Danio rerio: one gene and its partner. The protein of the gene in region 1 purifies or fractionates together with the protein of each later gene. This does not show direct contact. Links are inferred from orthologs where the notes say so. Each region holds a gene or a part of one and is shown in the gene's direction. Other genes may lie near its edges. The genes, in order: mlxipl and mlx.

Region 1 (8,491 bases):
GCCTATGGGCGCACATATGAGTGCAAATGCATTTGCTATTTAAACAGCGTGGCACAAAACGTCAAAATGACCCTTGCGCCGAGCTGAAACTAGCAAACAATTGCGTCGCGCCTTGAGCTACAATGTGCCGGGTGTATGATAGGACCCTAAGGGTCTTTTCATACACCCAGCGCAATAAGACGCTAGACGTGTTTGGCGCGTTATGTTGCTATTTTCAGAGCAGCACAACCCTAATTTTCACATTTTACATTTTGCGGGATCGAATCTGTATCGGTCGATTCTCAGAATTTTGTCAACAGGATCGGATCAGTTCCGAAAAAATGATATCAGTGCATCCCTAAAAAATGTTTTCATCCAGAAATGAGCATCAACACAAATGTGTTTTATATTTGCAGTTAGTTTTCCAGGAAGCATGGGTCAGACATCACCTACCAGTGCAGCTGAGAAAAGCCCAGAGTCAAAGTTGGAGTCCTCACGAGTAAGTTTCTGCTTAAAACATTTTATAAGCACACAGTTTGAGTTGAGTCTCTTACACATCTCTATGATCTTGCAGACAGACACACGACGGATCACACACATCTCTGCCGAACAGAAGAGACGGTTCAACATCAAGCTGGGGTTTGATACGTTACACAGTCTGGTGACGACTCTGAGCTCACAGCCCAGTATAAAGGTAAAGTACACTGCCTTCAGTCACTACAATACCTGACAAAAGTCCTGACTATGCAAGTTTTAAGAACGACAAATAATAACATGACTTCTAGTTGATCATTTGGTATCAGAAGTGGCTTATATGAAAGGCAAAGGCCTCTAGATTACGCTATTTGAGCACAATTAAATATGATCATGCCTTGATTATAATTGATGTCATTAGGACAGTAAGCTCTGACTCTGCTTAGGCTAAAGTCTCATCACTGAACTGAAATAATGTCCAGTATAGAATATAAAGTCCTGCTGCAGTGGAGAAAGAATGAATATTGTGTCTGACTCCATCATGAGCTTGGAGGACTGCATCCATACATCTCTGACATGACTCAAATCACTGATTAATAAAGTCATCTGGAATGAAGGAGAAAGCCTTCCTGCAGGACTCCCAGAGTTCATCAAGACCCTTTGTGTATATCTTCAATGCCTCCTCCTTCATCTTGCTCAATAATGTTGATATCTGGTGACTGGGCTGGCCAATCCTGGAGCAGCTTGACCTTCTTTGCTTTCAGGAGCTTTGATGTGGAGGCTGAAGTATGAGAAGAAGCGCTATCCTGCTGGAGAATTGTCCCTCTCCTGTGGTTTGTAATGTAATGGGCAGCACAAATGTCTTGATACCTCAGGCTGTTGATGTTGATCATCCACTCTGCAGATCTCTCGCACACCCCCATACTGAATGTTACCCCAAACCAAGAGTTTTCCTTCACCAAACTTGACTGATTTCTGTGAGAATCTTGGCTCCATGCTGGTTCCAGTAGGTCTTCTGCAGTATTTGTGATGATTGGGATGCAGCTCAACAGATGATTCATGGGAGAAATAGACTTTCTGCCACTTTTCCAAATGATCTAGTCATGAAGTTATTATCTGTTGCTCTTACATCTGAGATTGACGACGAGACTTTTGGTAGGTAGTGTAGACCTAAATAAAATAAAGTAAACTTTGTCTAAAATGGTGAACATGCACACATGCTTGAAGTGTGGCTGCAAGGGCATCCGCTTCATATGCTGGAGTAGTTGGCGGTTCATTTCACTGAGGCGACTCCTGATAAATAAGGGACTAAGCCAAAGGAATATTAATGAATAAATGAATAATATACACTCTTCGTCTATGCAAAGGTATTTCAATAAATTTTACAAAGTTTTTAGATTATTATTAATACTTACAGGTTGCATTAAGTACACTTTAGCTGTGCTGAATTAATAGAATTTTTTATTTCTAATGCATCTTTGGTGTTTTTGCTTATACTTTTTCACACAGGGCTATTTTGTATTTTCATTCATTCATTCATTTTCTTGTCGGCTTTCGGGTCGCCACAGCGGAATGAACCGCCAACTTATCCAGCAAGTTTTTACACAGCGGATGCCCTACCAGGCGCAACCCATCTCTGGGAAACATCCACACACACACACACACATTCGCACACACACTACGGACAATTTAGTCTACCCAATTCACCTGTACCGCATGTCTTTGACTGTTGGGGAAACCGCAGCTCTGGGAGTAAACCCACGCGAAGGCAGGGAGAACATGCAAACGCCACTTGGAAACGCCAACTGAGCCGAGGTTCGAACCAGCGACCCAGCGACCTTCTCGCTGTGAGGCGACAGCACTACCTACTGCGCCACTGCCTCGCCCTATTTTGTATTTTGTTTTGCCTTAACTATAAAAAGTTGCATTAAAAAAACTGCATGATGTGTTTACTTGTGTCACCTAATATTTAACTTTGTTTGATGATGATCTGAAACAGACTACTAGCTTCATTGGGTATTCTTGGTTCCTCGCTGACACTTTTTCCTGTAATTTCTGCGGTTCACAGATCAGTAAAGCCACGACTTTGCAGAAAACGGCAGAGTACATCAGTAAGATGCAGCAGGAGAGAGCACAGCTTCATGAGGAGGCGCAGAGGCTGAGAGACCAGATCCTGGCACTCAATTCCGCCATCAAGTCAGTGTAATCCAACTCATTAAAGTTCTTATTATTGGGAAAATGTGCCCAGGGCTACATATTTGAGAACTGAGAAATATGTGCTTGTGGGTACATACAGTTGAAGTCAGAATTATTAGCCCCCTTTGATTTTTTTTTTCCTTCTTTTTAAAATATTTCCCAAATTATGTTTAACAGAGCAAGGAAATTTTCACAGTATGTCTGATAATATTTTTTCTTCTGGAGAAAGTCTTATTTGTTTTATTTTGGCTAGAATAAAATCAGTTTTTAATTTTTTAAACACCGTTTTAGGGACAAAATTATTAGCCCCTTAAAACTATATATTTTTTCGATAATCTACAGAACAAACCATCATTATACAAACACTTGCCTAATTCCCCTAACCTGCCTAGTTAACCTAATTAACCTAGTTAAGCCTTTAAATGTCACTTTAAGCTGTATAGAAGTGTCTTGAAGAATATCTAGTCAAATATTATTTACTGTCGTCATGGCAAAAAGAAAATAAATCAGTTATTAGAGATGAATTATTAAAACTGTTATGTTTAGAAATGTGTTGAAAAAATCTGCTCTCTGTTAAACAGAAATTGGATAAAAAATAAACAAGCGGTCTAATAATTCAGGGGGGGCTAATAATTCTGACTTCAACTGTATAGCCAGTGTTGGGGATCATACTTTGGAAATGTAATAGATTACACAAAATTTAATAAGTAGTGTACCTTTTTAATTGCTTTACGTTAGTAAAGTAACATCTGATTACTTTTTAATTACTTTTAAGTTTCTAATGGATATTTTCAACTAAATCAATTTCAAGCAGATGTGACCTTACAGTAGCTCAGTTTACTGTTATCTCTCATAACCTGAATTAGGATTATATTAATTTAATTTAAAGTTCAGCCACCACAAAACCAGACCTTATTACAAAAAAAGTGTTTACTGTTAGTACAAAATCAAAATTGTACTTGGAAAGTGTGATATGTGTGATAGTCCAGAGGAGACGTTAACACTAATGCATTATTTTGAAACTCTGTTTAGTGTGTGTCAGCAGCAGCTCCCCGCTACAGGCGTTCCAATAACACGGCAGAGGTTTGACCACATGAGGGAGAAGTTCAGAGAATATGTGAGAGCTCAAACGCTGCAGAACTGGAAGTTCTGGATTGTATCCTGCAAAGCTCTGTGTCTGTTGAGGAACCAATGAACCCATACTGCATGAAAAATACTGCTAATAACACATTATAGCGAACTACCTTTAAGGCAGGGGTGTCAAACTCATTTTAGCTCAGGGGCCACATGGAGAAAAAGCTGTTCCCAAGTGGGCCAGACTGGAAAAATCATGGTATAGTTAACTTAAAAACAGCAACTTAAGATTGTTTTAATATGATCAACATAAAGCTGGAGCCTGAGCACCACACAATCTCTTAGCAATTCATAACTTTTTGATTTTTTTTTCTTTCTTTTTTTGGATGCCCTTCCAGCTGCAACCCATCTCTGGGAAACATCCATACACATTTACCCACACACACTCATACACTACGGACAATTTAGCCTACCCAATTCACCTGTACCGCATGTCTTTGGACTGTGGGGGAAACCGGAGCACATGGAGACTCGAACCAGCGACCTTCTTGCTGTGAGGCGACAGCACTACCTACTGCGCCACTGCCTCGCCCTGTAATAGTTCGATATCTTGAGTTATATGATGTATCTTATCATATTATTTTCCTGTTTGTCGTTATTACATCACGTTCATAATATCACGTCACGTGGACCCCTCGCTGTGCTGTGTTTTATAAAACCCATTTCTAAGCTGGTGTTGGGCGGCATGGTGGCTCAGTGGTTAGCACAGTCGCCTCACAGAAAGAAGGTCACTGGTTCGAGTCCCGGCTGGGCCAGTTGTTATTTCTATGTAGAGTTTGCCTGTTCTCCTTGTTTTGGCGTGGGGTTTCTCCGGGTGCTCCGGTTCCCCCCACAGTCCAAACACATGCGCTATGGGTGAATTGAATAAGCTAAATTGGCCGTAGTGTATGAGTGTGTGTGAATGAGTGTGTATAAGTGTGTCACAGTACTGGGTTACAACTGGAAAGGCATCCGCTGCATAAAGCACATGCTGGAATAGTTGTTGGTTCATCGGACGGTGGCGACCGACAATTGGTGCGCTTCCAGAATGTTTTGTGAATCTAGTCTCTAGCATCCAAAAACATCAGTGCTGGTGAAAGTGCTTTATATTTTCCTGAACTGCTGTTCTCTCAGTTCAGCATCATCATCGAGCCGCTGTTCGAGTCGTTTAACAGTATGGTTTCCACAGCCAGTGTTGATGATCTGTGTCGCAGCACGCTCTCCTGGCTGGACCAGCACTGCTCTCTGCCTACACTCAGACCCAGTGAGTGACCGCTTACTATTTCATTTACCTCAAAACATTTTACTGCCGTTTAAACTACATCCATAAACAGTTAAAGTCAGAATTATGAGCCCCTCTGTTTATTTTTTTCCCAATTTCTGTTTAACGGAGAGCAGATTTTTTCAACACATTTATAATCATAATAGTTTTAATAACTCATTTCTAATAACTGGTTTATTTTATCTTTGCCATGATGACAGTAAATATTGTTTGACTAGATATTCTTCAAGATGCTAGTATTCAGCTTAAAAAAAGGAAGAGTAGGTTAAAGTTTGGGTGATTAGGCAAGTCATTGTATAACAGTGGTTTGTTTTGTAGACAATCCAAAACAAAAATTGCTTAAGGGGGCTAATAATATTGACCTTACAATGGCTTAAAATAAATTAAACTGATACTATTTTAGCCAAAATAAAACAAACAAGACTTTCTCCAGAAGAAATTTCATAGAATCACATTTGATGAATAGAAAGTTAGTATAGCATGTCATTAAAACAGAATAATGTTAATAACAGAATTAAATATTTAGATGATCATTTATTCGAATAACATCATTTTTACATTATAAATGTCTTTACTGTCAATTTTTATCAATTTCATGTATTCTTTCTGAATAAAAATACTACTTAGTTTCAATAAAAAAAGGTTTAAATAAAATATCATATTAAAAAAATCATTAATAATCATTTAGAAAGTTAGTATAGCATGTTATTAAGACAGAATAATGTTAATAACAGAATTAGATAATTAGATACTCATTTATTCGAATAACAGATTTTTTTTGACATTATGAATGTCTTTACTGTAAATTTTTATCAATTTCATGTATTCTTTCTAAATAAAAATACAACTTAGTTTTGTATTAAAAAGTTAAATATCAAATAAAAAAATCATTAAAATCATTAATAATCATTTAGAAAGTTAGTATAGCTGGCTAACCATTTTCATGTTTTTTGGGCTTGCCCCAAAAATACAAACATTCTAGTGTGAAATAGCGACTAAAATAAAAAAAGATAACTGGAGAAGAATTGGAGTACTCATTTATAACATTATACCTTGGGAAAATTCTAGAAATTATTCCAACTATTGACAAGTACTTAATTCAAATCCTTTTGGTAAGTAGCAGAAAAGCCAGAACTCGAAAATAGTTTTCCTCTTTCTTTTCTCTAAATAAAAAAGTAAAAAACAAAAAAACAGTTAGTATAGCATTTTATTGAAACAAAATAATGTCAATAACATAATTAAACATTATTAGATCATTTATTTGATAAATAAAATTACTTTTTTGACATTATAAATGTGTTTACTGTCATTTTTTATCATTTTTTTGTTTTCTTTCTGAATAAAAATACAACCTAATTTCTTTTAAAAAGTTTAATTAATTTTAAAAGTCTGAGAAATTATTAAATAATTTAAAAAAATAATTAGCTGGCTTTTACAACGGCATTTAACATGCTTATATGATTAGACATGAAGTCTAATCTTTAAATATAGGTTTAATAGTAGTACTTCTTTTTCTTTCTGACTCTATCAAGTTTCATTTGCTTTATTGGCATAACGTGTTTTAAGTATTGCAAATTCATTTGAACTATTTATAAAACTGAAATGACTTGCATTATTAAAATAATAAAATATACAATAAATGAGAAATAAATGACTGAAAAAAGGAACAATACTAAACAGTGTAGATTACTTAAATAAGGAAAATGAATTCTGTGGATTAATAATTTCTTCTGTCTCTCTTCTTCCAGCTGTTTTGAGTTCACTTCGTCTGCTCAGCACTTCCACATCAATCCTTTCAGACCCAAGTTTGGTTCCTGAACAAGCCGTCCAGGCAGTCACTCACGGACATTCATCGCACAGCTACAGCCAATGACAGCACACGCTCTCAGAATGACAGCCAATCAATAAACTTTGTCCCGTAGATACAGCCAATGACAGCACATGCACTCAGAATGACAGCAAATCAAATAATTTCCATCTATAGATACAGCCAATGACAGCACACGCTCTCAGAACGACAGCCAATCATAAAGCTTCATTCCACAGCTACAGCCAATGACAGCACACTCTCCCAGAATGACAGCCAATTATAAAACTTCATCCCACAGCTACAGCTAATGACAGCACACGCTTTCAAAATGACAGCCAATCATAAAGATTCATTCCACAGCTATAGCCAATGACAGCACACGCTTTCAAAATGACAGCCAATCATAAAGCTTCATTCCACAGCTATAGCCAATGACAGCACACGCTTTCAAAATGACAGCCAATCATAAAGCTTCATTCCACAGCCAATGACAGCACACGCTTTCAAAATGACAGCCAATCATAAAGCTTCATTCCACAGCTATAGCCAATGACAGCACATGCTTTCAAAATGACAGCCAATCATAAAGCTTCATTCCACAGCTATAGCCAATGACAGCACACTCTCCTAGAATGACAGCCAATTATAAAACTTCATCCCACAGCTCCAGCCAATGACAGCACACTCTCCTAGAATGACAGCCAATTATAAAACTTCATCCCACAGCTCCAGCCAATGACAGCACACAATCTCAAAATAACAGCCAATCATAAAACTTCATTCCACAGCCAATGACAGCACACACTCTCAGAATGACGGCCAATCATAACACTTCATCCCACAGCTGCAGCCAATGACAGCACACGCTGTCAGAATGACAGCCAATCATAACACTTCATCCCACAGCTATAGCCAATGACAGCACACACTCTTAAACTACAGCCAATCATAACACTTCATCCTATAGCTACAGCCAATGACAGCACACTCTCTCAAACTACAGCCAATCATAACACTTCATCGCACAGCTACAGGCAATGACAGCACACACTCTCAGAATAAATCAATCATAACACTTGAATCATTGTACAACTACAGCCAATGAGAGCAGACACTTTTAGAATGAAAGCTAATCAAAACATGCAGTCTATAGATTCAGCCAATGACAGCACATGCTCTCAGAATGACAGCCAATCATAAAACTTCATTCTATAGCTACAGCCAATGACAGCACATGCTCTCAGAATGACAGCCAATCATAAAACTTCATTCTATAGCTACAGCCAATGACAGCACACGCTCTCAAAACAATGGCCAATCATAACATTTCATCCTCCAGCTATACAGCCAATGATAGTGCACTCTCAAACAACAGCCAATCAAAAGACTTCAAGCCACAGCTACAGCCAACGACATCACACGCTCTCAGAATGACAGCCAATCGAAAAGCTTCATCCCACAGCTACAGCCAATGACAGCACACTCTCTCAATACAATGACCAATCATAATGTTTTCTCCCTAAGCTATAGAGATGACCAAGTATATTATGCCTTTAGCAGAAGCTTTATTTAATGTTACAAGACGAATTCATCAAGGAGACGTATTTGTAATGTATAACGGCAGGTTTTTAAGACAA
Region 2 (8,491 bases), on another chromosome or scaffold:
TACTTTATTTTTAAATTAAGTGAACTATTTAGCAGTTTTGACGCAAAACAATTTAGCGCTTTTGTCATTTATTAATGATTTATTAATGATTAAAAAGTCTGTCGATAACTTGTGTTTGTTTGAATATTTCTTTTATTCTGAATTTTTTTTGCCATAAAGATAGCCAGTAAATCTGACATAGCATTAAATAAAAGATGTGAAAAGATACGACATTAGTACTCATTAATTTGTACTTTTTAATAGATAGAAGTACTTTTCATTAGATACTACCTATTAAAGCATCTGTTTATAGGTACCAGTATGTAACGATAAAGCACTAGAGTCTAAATAATAGAAACTAGTGTCAAATAATCTTCAATCAGTGTATAAAATATGTCACATTTGGAATACATAGTTGCCAAAACTAGATGTACATACTAGTGAAAATAGATCCCTATATACAAAAATGGAAACTATGTTAAATTAGAATAACAGCCCCCCTCTTTATTTTCCCCCAATTTCTGTTTAACAGAGAGATTTTCTCAACACATATCTAAGCATAATAGTTTTAATAACTAATTTCTAATAACTGATTTCTTTTATCTTTGCCATGATGACAGTAAATAATATTTGACTAGATATTTTTCAAGACACTTCTATACAGCTTAAAGTGACATTTAAAGGCTTAACTAGGTTAATTAGGTTAACTAGGCAGGTTAGGGTAATTAGGCAAGTTATTGTATAACGATGGTTTGTTCTGTAGACTATCCAAAAAAAAATTGGCTTAAAGGGGCTCATAATTTTGACACTAAAATGGCTTTTAAAAATTAAAAACTGCTTTCATTCTAGCCGAAATAAAATGGATAAGACTTTTTTCAGACGAAAAAATATTATCAGACATAATATTTTTTGCTCTTTTAAACATCATTTGGGAAATTTTTAGAAAAGAAAGTGATGCACTAGGGTAACAAGGTTATTAGTTCTATAATAGTTACTTAAAGCTAATATATTAATTACAAACATGCACGTATGAAAACTAATTCTATCATTCTATTTTTTTTTTATCTATAAAACTAACACTAGTATTAAAAACTGTTTGCTTTGTTCTGTGCAATATTGGACTTACCAAACACATGACAATTTTATTGAAATATTTACATTTTCCTTGACCTCCATATCTCTAGGTTTTTTTGCAGAGAGCGCACGTAAAGGAAGTTTGGTGTCTAGAGCCAACAGTATCGGATCCACAAGTGCCTCTTCAGTACCAAACACAGGTGATGATACTGCTATTTATTCAGTGTCAAACATAGCCGTTTGTTGTGTATATCAAACTCTTTACTCTGAATTTCCCATTGTTTCCTGTTCAGAATCACAAGGTTATTCATCAGTCACCTTTCACTGTGAATGATTCATCCATGCATGCATTTTATTCATTCCCTTTTCCTTCTTTTTATTATCGTCTTAACTGGATTTTCCTTTGGTGATTTTGCATGACAGACTTCATGTATATTTAAATACGTTTTAAACAGCTGACTTGTTATAATCTTTTTTGATAATCCACTTGAGTAACAGAGTGAATGAAAATGTGTCAATATTTCCCTATTATCTGCATTTTAAGATGGACAATGAAATACTTTTGTTATCAATTTAGTTTATTTTGTTTTGTGTCTTTTGCTTCAGTTTTTTTGTGTGATCTTAATGACTGCTGATGGCTAACAGATATTTGTTCCTCCCATTGGTTTAGATGATGAAGACAGTGACAACAGACATGAGACGCCTTATAAAGAGTCATATAAAGACCGCAGGAGGCACGCACACACGCAGGCAGAGCAGAAACGCAGGGACGCCATCAAGGTATGTGTGACGCTTTTCAGGCTAACAGACAGACACATGGAAAAAAGTAGCTGACGAAATAAAAGTCTTTTCTGGTTTATTAGTACACTAGTATGACAAACTAGAGTAACCAGTTTGGTTTGGATTCAAAGTAGAGTGATCATTCTTTTTGTAATTGACTTTAAAATACAAATGCCCAGTCTTAAAGGGGAAAAAAGGTGATGAACGTTTTAAGAATACAATAAGCAGTTTATACAACTGACCCTGTTGGAATTGCTGTTTCTTCTTTCTCTTCTTTTTCTTATCCAGAATGAATCGCTATTTTGTTTAGATTTTGATCTAAACATGCCCGAAAACTCACAAAACATTGCATCTGCCCCAGAAGTAGCAAAAATTTACGTTTGTTATAGGTTTCCGAAGTGGGCGTGGCAAAATGACATGACAGCTCCACCCATGCACATTAAACAGACTAGCCTCCAAGCTACGATTCACGCACACATATTAAAACTGACAGACCTGCCTGAAAATTCTCACGTTCGATAAGATTCCTCTCCTGAAGACATCTGCATGCCAATATCGAGTCACAGTCATAGCACCACCTGCTGACAGAAGGAAGTTTGGCATATATTGATGATTTCTGAATTTTTTTTTAGATATTTATCAGCTTAATATATTATTGTTCGCTGTGCTCTGTCATCCTGAGGCCACCGAGTGGTCCCAGGTCCCTTTCATTGCTGCTTGCAGCTTTAATTTGACTTGTGTTTACTAGTTTAGGAAACATAATAAATCTAAGAAATAGAAAAAGGTAACACTTTCATTTAAGGTGTCCATATATATGTTCCACTACTTACATATACGTACACCAATTATAAAAATGAGTTAGTTATGCATAATTACGCACAACTAACCTATATTTAGTAGGTACATGTAATTAATTGACATGTAAAACAGTAGTTACATAAATAGTTACACTGTAACAAGGACATAAAGAAAATGTATCAAATAAAATCAAGAAAATTTTGTGCTCATTTTATGGCGGCTCTTTGGAGGGGACCTAAGTAGGATCATTATTATTATAAAAACTATTATTGCTATTATGATTATTTTAAAGCTCTACGTTTGCTGTTGTACGTCTGTTGATATGTTTTGTTGATTTGCATCATTAGGCCACAAAAAAATACAAAAATAAATCAATTTCACAATGCTGTATATTATTGCTACTACCAGTTAAGTGAAAGAAATAATAATATTGTAATATGTCAATGTAAAAATAAAGTGTAAGAATCAATTTAATTTTAGCAGTTGTAAACGTATGTTATAATGTTTATATTAAATCTTAATTACTTTTTATTTTTAAAACATCAGGCTTTTATTTTGCTGGAAAACTACAGCGAGATTAGCACATTGTATTTCCAAGTGCAAAACCCAAACTCTTGGCAGATACTAAGATGAGTTGTGTTTACTTTGCACCAAGCCATTGAAAACCCTAAGTAGCTTGCTTATAAAATAGCACAGTTCTGCATGTTGCAAGTTTAACTCCTTCAAATTATCTCCATGGATCTTTAATCTCACAGAAAGGCTATGATGACCTGCAGTCTATAGTGCCTACATGTCAGCAGCAGTCAGACTTCTCCATGGCCACACAAAAGATGAGCAAAGCTACAGTCCTGCAAAAGAGTGAGAACCTTCAATACCTATTTATATGCTGTTGTCATCTTGTGTGGAATGAAAAGGCTCAGCAACTTTATATGTGTGTGTGTGTGTCTGTGTGTGTAGCAATCGACTACATTCAGTTTCTCCACAAAGAAAAGAAGAAGCAGGAAGAGGATGTTTCCACACTTAGGAAGGAGGTGATGGCGCTGAAAATTATGAAAACGTGAGTAGTTGGTTATTTAGAGGGGGGCCGGAAACATTTTAACAGCTCATGCAGACAAGTATAGATTCAGTTACACTCCTGTAGGGCTTTTTCAGGTTTCATAAGGCTTTATCTGACACCATCATTCTTCTGTTAAGAAAGATAAAAAACACCCTTTTAGGAGAACAAAGTTTTCAACCAAAAACAACTATTTTTAAGAGTTTTTCCTGTTCGTTTACAAAACAGCATTTTTGGGGACTAAAAATGGGTCACAAGGTAGAAGTTTTTGAAAACGCTGCAATTGTTGAGTGTGTGTAAACGCCTGAAAAAACAATCTTTGAAATTTATGACGTCATGTGTGCTGAATGGTATGCATTTAGTGTAATGTAGATTAAAGACAAGCACAAACACATAACATTGACAGAGTATGTGGAGGTGTTGTTGTTTGCTAACAATCCATAATCTAAGTGTCGATTTACTTCATATTACAACTAAAAGTGGAGACGCATCTTACACACACACACTGCAAATTTTATGTACACACCAGCAACAAGCTGCCAATGACCTTTTGTCACTTCCTTAAAGGTAGCACTAACAAGTAGACCAAATACTGGCCTGGCATATGTAATACAGTCCTTTTGTAAATGTGTAAAGCAGTGGTCACACTAGAGTTTGAGGTTGCAAAATTCTGTCATATTACGCTGTGAAACTGGGCAGGATAAAACAAGATGATTAAGACATCAAATTATGGAGCAATTGCTTGCTTTATGAAATTTCAGTACAGAAAAGTCACGTTTGGAATGGATCATGCAGTTACGTGATGCGATTTCACAGGTCAGGGTTCACTGAACTTTTGAACGCAGTGAATCTTGTTGCAGGAGCTTGTGTTTCTGGTCTGTTGAATTTGCATGCGTTTGAAAGGAACTCACTGTACCGTTCACACTACACGACTTGATTTTGTGTCTTTAAATCGCTGTGGTGTTTACACTACGCAACACTACCTAAATTATCCACAAGAGGGGGTCACACACTACATGATCTGACAACAACTCGTTCCACAACAGCTCAGTCAAGCACAGCCAATAAAATGTTGAGGGAGGAGACAGCAAAAAAAACTGAACACTATTGGCTGCTTGAGTGCTGATAACATCACTGACCGTAGCTATGTTTCCATCCAAAAATGCTAAATAAATTTATGCGCAAAACTGGATTATTGCATAAAAAATATATATGTATAAAGCAGCGTTTCCATCCAACAAGTCAAAGCCAACAAAATTGTCTCTTCTTGATTATCTGGCACCAAATATCAACAGTAAAAACGGAATTTGCTGCGGTAGGAGAAGCTGCGCGAATCTTTTCATTTAATAAATGACTTGCACTTTAGAAGGCAATCCCGACACGCAGTGGGCGCGTGGTGAAATTTGAAGGCGTGAGACGTGGAGCACTTTTCTAAAAGCTTTAAAGGAAATGTTTAAAAATATTGTCAGTCAGCTGATGCATCAGCAGATCAGTCGCTCATTTGCAAGGTTTACTAAAAGTGAGGTCCAGGGGCCTGTTTCAGAAAGGAGGTTAAGTAAAGTATTTTAACCCTGAAATGAGGGAAACTCTGGGTTTTCCGTTTCAAAATGGCAGGTTTGTCAAACTGGAGAAACCAGGGTAAGTCAAGCCTGTTTCTGAAAGAAAGGTAACTTTAACTCAGAGTCAGTTACCATGGTAACTTACTCTGTGAACCTAACCTGGTCAGAAGCAGGTTTTATTCTCTAAACTCAGAATTTCTGTTGGTCTCCTCCCTTTTTTAAAGATGAAGTGTTTTTTCTCGCCGTAGCCTTACGTTTCCACCCACTTTTTTGATGCTCATATTTAATATGTGCCTAAAAACGATTGATGGACACGTCATGATGCACATAAGTTTTGAAAATATGCATAAAAACACATGCATAACTGAGTAGGAAAACCTTTTATTCGATAGAAAATATGCGCATAAACTATGATGGAAACACTTTTACTGAACAAATTACAGTATGTGCATTAAAAAAGGTTATGATATGATGATGAAAATGTGTGTAAATGGACAAACCAGCAGGCTGAGCACACTACACATCTTAAATGTTGTTTTGCTCATTTTAAAATGCCTTAACTGTTTCAGTATTAGCGTATATAATTAATTACTTCCGATCATCTGGAGCGTGTTAAGAATCTCCGCGTCTCATGGCTTCAAACGCCCCCACGTGTTCACCGTGTGTCAGCATTGTCTTCTGACTCTGAGGCGCAAGTACATTTATAAATAAAGAAATAATTGACAGCTTCTTCTACCACAGTAAATTCTGTTTTTACTGTTGATAATTAATCAGTTAATCAGGAAGTGACAATTTTGTTATCTTTGACTCGTTGGATGGCAACGCTGCTTTATTCACATCTTTTATGCAATATTCCAGTTTTGCACATAAATTTATGTAATATACTTGGATGGAAACATACATTGCCTACATTTTAGTCACACACAGAACAAAGTCACGTACGAGAATGGCTTGTCCCTTTTTAAAAGCATAAATAATTAGCTTAAATTTACTGACCTTCGACATGTACTGTTACTAGATTAATGGAATTATTATTCTTATAACATTTTTTTCTAGTTCTGCTTACCTTCTAAATGTTATATCAAACTATCACTTGATCAGTAAAAAAGGCAGACACACAAGTTCACTGTTAAATCAATTAATACTTGATAAACATGTATAAATGTTTAGAAAAAAATATAATTGTCAAACATTACATTACTTATTTTATTATACTTAAATATTTAAATGAAAAATTACACATTAACTTGAGCAGCTGTTTTCCCAGGCTGTCTCTGTTTCACTGATGGTTGCTTCGTTTTAAATATATACACTCATATTTGCTATAACTTTGCATCATCACATCAAGTTCAGCTGGAGAAAGAAATGCTGATCTCTTTTTTTAAGATGGTGCCATGGTCACCCGTAATATCTGCCCTCCATTAATAATGCCTTTTTATAGTCACGGTGTGTGAGCTTAACTCTGAGTTGATCTACTCAGCTATTCTGAAACCCAAAACTTTGAGTTTTTAATCTCTCGGTAAATCAACTCAGAGTTTAAGTTTAAACTCTGAGTTGTTTGAACCTCCTTACTGAAACAGGCCCCAGATCTTTGCTGGTGTTCAAGTATCTTAACTAAATATTTATAAGCTATATTACCAAAAAGATATTTTTACAATAATGGTGTCATAAAATATGATGACAGACATTCAAAGCTTAATTTTAAAATCTCAATAGAAGCTTTGAATGTAAATATGATGTCTTATATGAGAACGGTCAGAATGAATGCTATGGTAATTCTGAAAGTTATAGAATTCTAGTTCCACTGTTAATATTTTAGCCTTATCTCGTGTCTGTGTAAACATACAGAGTGAGGCGAGTGCATCAATGCCCGTTCTGGCCAATCACAGACATTTCTGTTGAGCTTCTGAGCACAACAGCCATTCAGCTCATGCTCATATGCTCACTCATTGGCTGCAGCTCGTCACTACATCTGACCGCACATGGGGTTGAGTCGACCAGCTGCTCTGGAATATTCAGCACGCTAGATATTGGATTTTCGTTTGCGAGGTGTTGGCTACGCATCAGCGAGCCTCTTTGATGCGCCATTCGGTTGTTCACACATAAAGACTGCCAAGCGCCGAGCACCCCCAGATTTTTTCCTGATCACAGCCCGATCTGTTGGCAGGCTTGTAACTTTCAAATCGGGTTCAAAACAGGCTTAAAATCCTGTAGTGTGAACTAGGCTTTAAAAGTACAGACACTAGCCAGTCAACACAGAGAATAGTGCTAAGTCAATATGGAGGAAAAGCTTATGATCACGGTTGGTAATCACCCAGTGCCTTATGATCAATCCGTGTATATATTTAATCACTACTACTACTATGCTTTTTTTGTGTCAGGGTCCAAACTGGGTGCGATAGGCTATCGTCAACATGACAATCACGTCAATGTGAAGCTTTTGAACCATCAAGCGTTAAAACCTTTAGATCTTAGAGTGAGGGAGATATTCAGAAAAAAATGTCTTTGTTCAAATGTGTGTCTAAAAGGCAGATTGTGTGGTTTGTTTCAGGAACTATGAGCACATTGTGAAGGCCCATCAGAATAACCCTCAGCAGGGCAGCGAGCAGGTTTCAGATCAGGTGAAGTTCAGTGTTTTTCAGAGCATCATGGACTCTCTGTTCCAGTCCTTCAGTGCCTCAGTGTCGGTCAGCAGTTTTCAGGAGCTTTCCGCCTGTGTCTTCAGCTGGATAGAGGAACACTGCAAGCCACAGGTACACAAGCTCACACATTTAATGGGATAGTTCAACCAAAAATCAAAATGTACCTGCTATCTATTCACCTTCAAGTAAGTTTTTTAAACACAAAATAAATATGTGAATGATTGTTTGTTTTGGCTGAACTATCCCTTAAATTTCATATTTTTCCAGTTTTATAAATTGTTATTATTAAATATTTTTAATATAACATAATTGGGGCTAGAGATTTCCCCAGTCTGACGTATGACAAAATGCATGTTTGGTAAATTTTCTGGTAAAACATTTGGTTAAAGTGGCAAAATGTTAGTTTTAGTCTAAATATTGACCACAACTGTATTTAAAGACTACATCGCTTTGTAAGCTTTGTGTAATTTACTGAATATGGATTGAGAAAAGCTTTAAAATATTTTCACTTCTGTATATATTTTTTATATTTACCCCTTTTACAAAGGCAACATTTAGCCCCATACTAGCCACAGTATTGTTGTTGCAGATGAAATATAACACGG

Evidence for each region.
Region 2: the proteins of mlxipl (region 1) and mlx purify together in Homo sapiens (affinity purification with western blotting; 3 studies listed by BioGRID and IntAct, counting the BioPlex papers as one, with this or other methods). This does not show direct contact. The link is inferred for Danio rerio from reciprocal best matches to the Homo sapiens genes MLXIPL and MLX.

Annotation. Positions count from the first base shown.
Region 1 is NC_133180.1:4,380,187-4,388,677, reverse strand, and holds part of mlxipl (carbohydrate-responsive element-binding protein), read left to right. Parts: intron 1-395; coding exon 396-478; intron 479-553; coding exon 554-673; intron 674-2,521; coding exon 2,522-2,649; intron 2,650-3,681; coding exon 3,682-3,805; intron 3,806-4,896; coding exon 4,897-5,026; intron 5,027-6,792; coding exon 6,793-6,917; 3' UTR 6,918-8,491. UniProt on the Homo sapiens protein: Binds DNA as a heterodimer with MLX/TCFL4 and activates transcription. Binds to the canonical E box sequence 5'-CACGTG-3'. Plays a role in transcriptional activation of glycolytic target genes. Involved in glucose-responsive gene regulation.
Region 2 is NC_133178.1:36,005,882-36,014,372, reverse strand, and holds part of mlx (max-like protein X), read left to right. Parts: intron 1-1,163; coding exon 1,164-1,253; intron 1,254-1,723; coding exon 1,724-1,833; intron 1,834-3,386; coding exon 3,387-3,489; intron 3,490-3,588; coding exon 3,589-3,688; intron 3,689-7,795; coding exon 7,796-7,997; intron 7,998-8,491. UniProt on the Homo sapiens protein: Transcription regulator. Forms a sequence-specific DNA-binding protein complex with MAD1, MAD4, MNT, WBSCR14 and MLXIP which recognizes the core sequence 5'-CACGTG-3'. The TCFL4-MAD1, TCFL4-MAD4, TCFL4-WBSCR14 complexes are transcriptional repressors.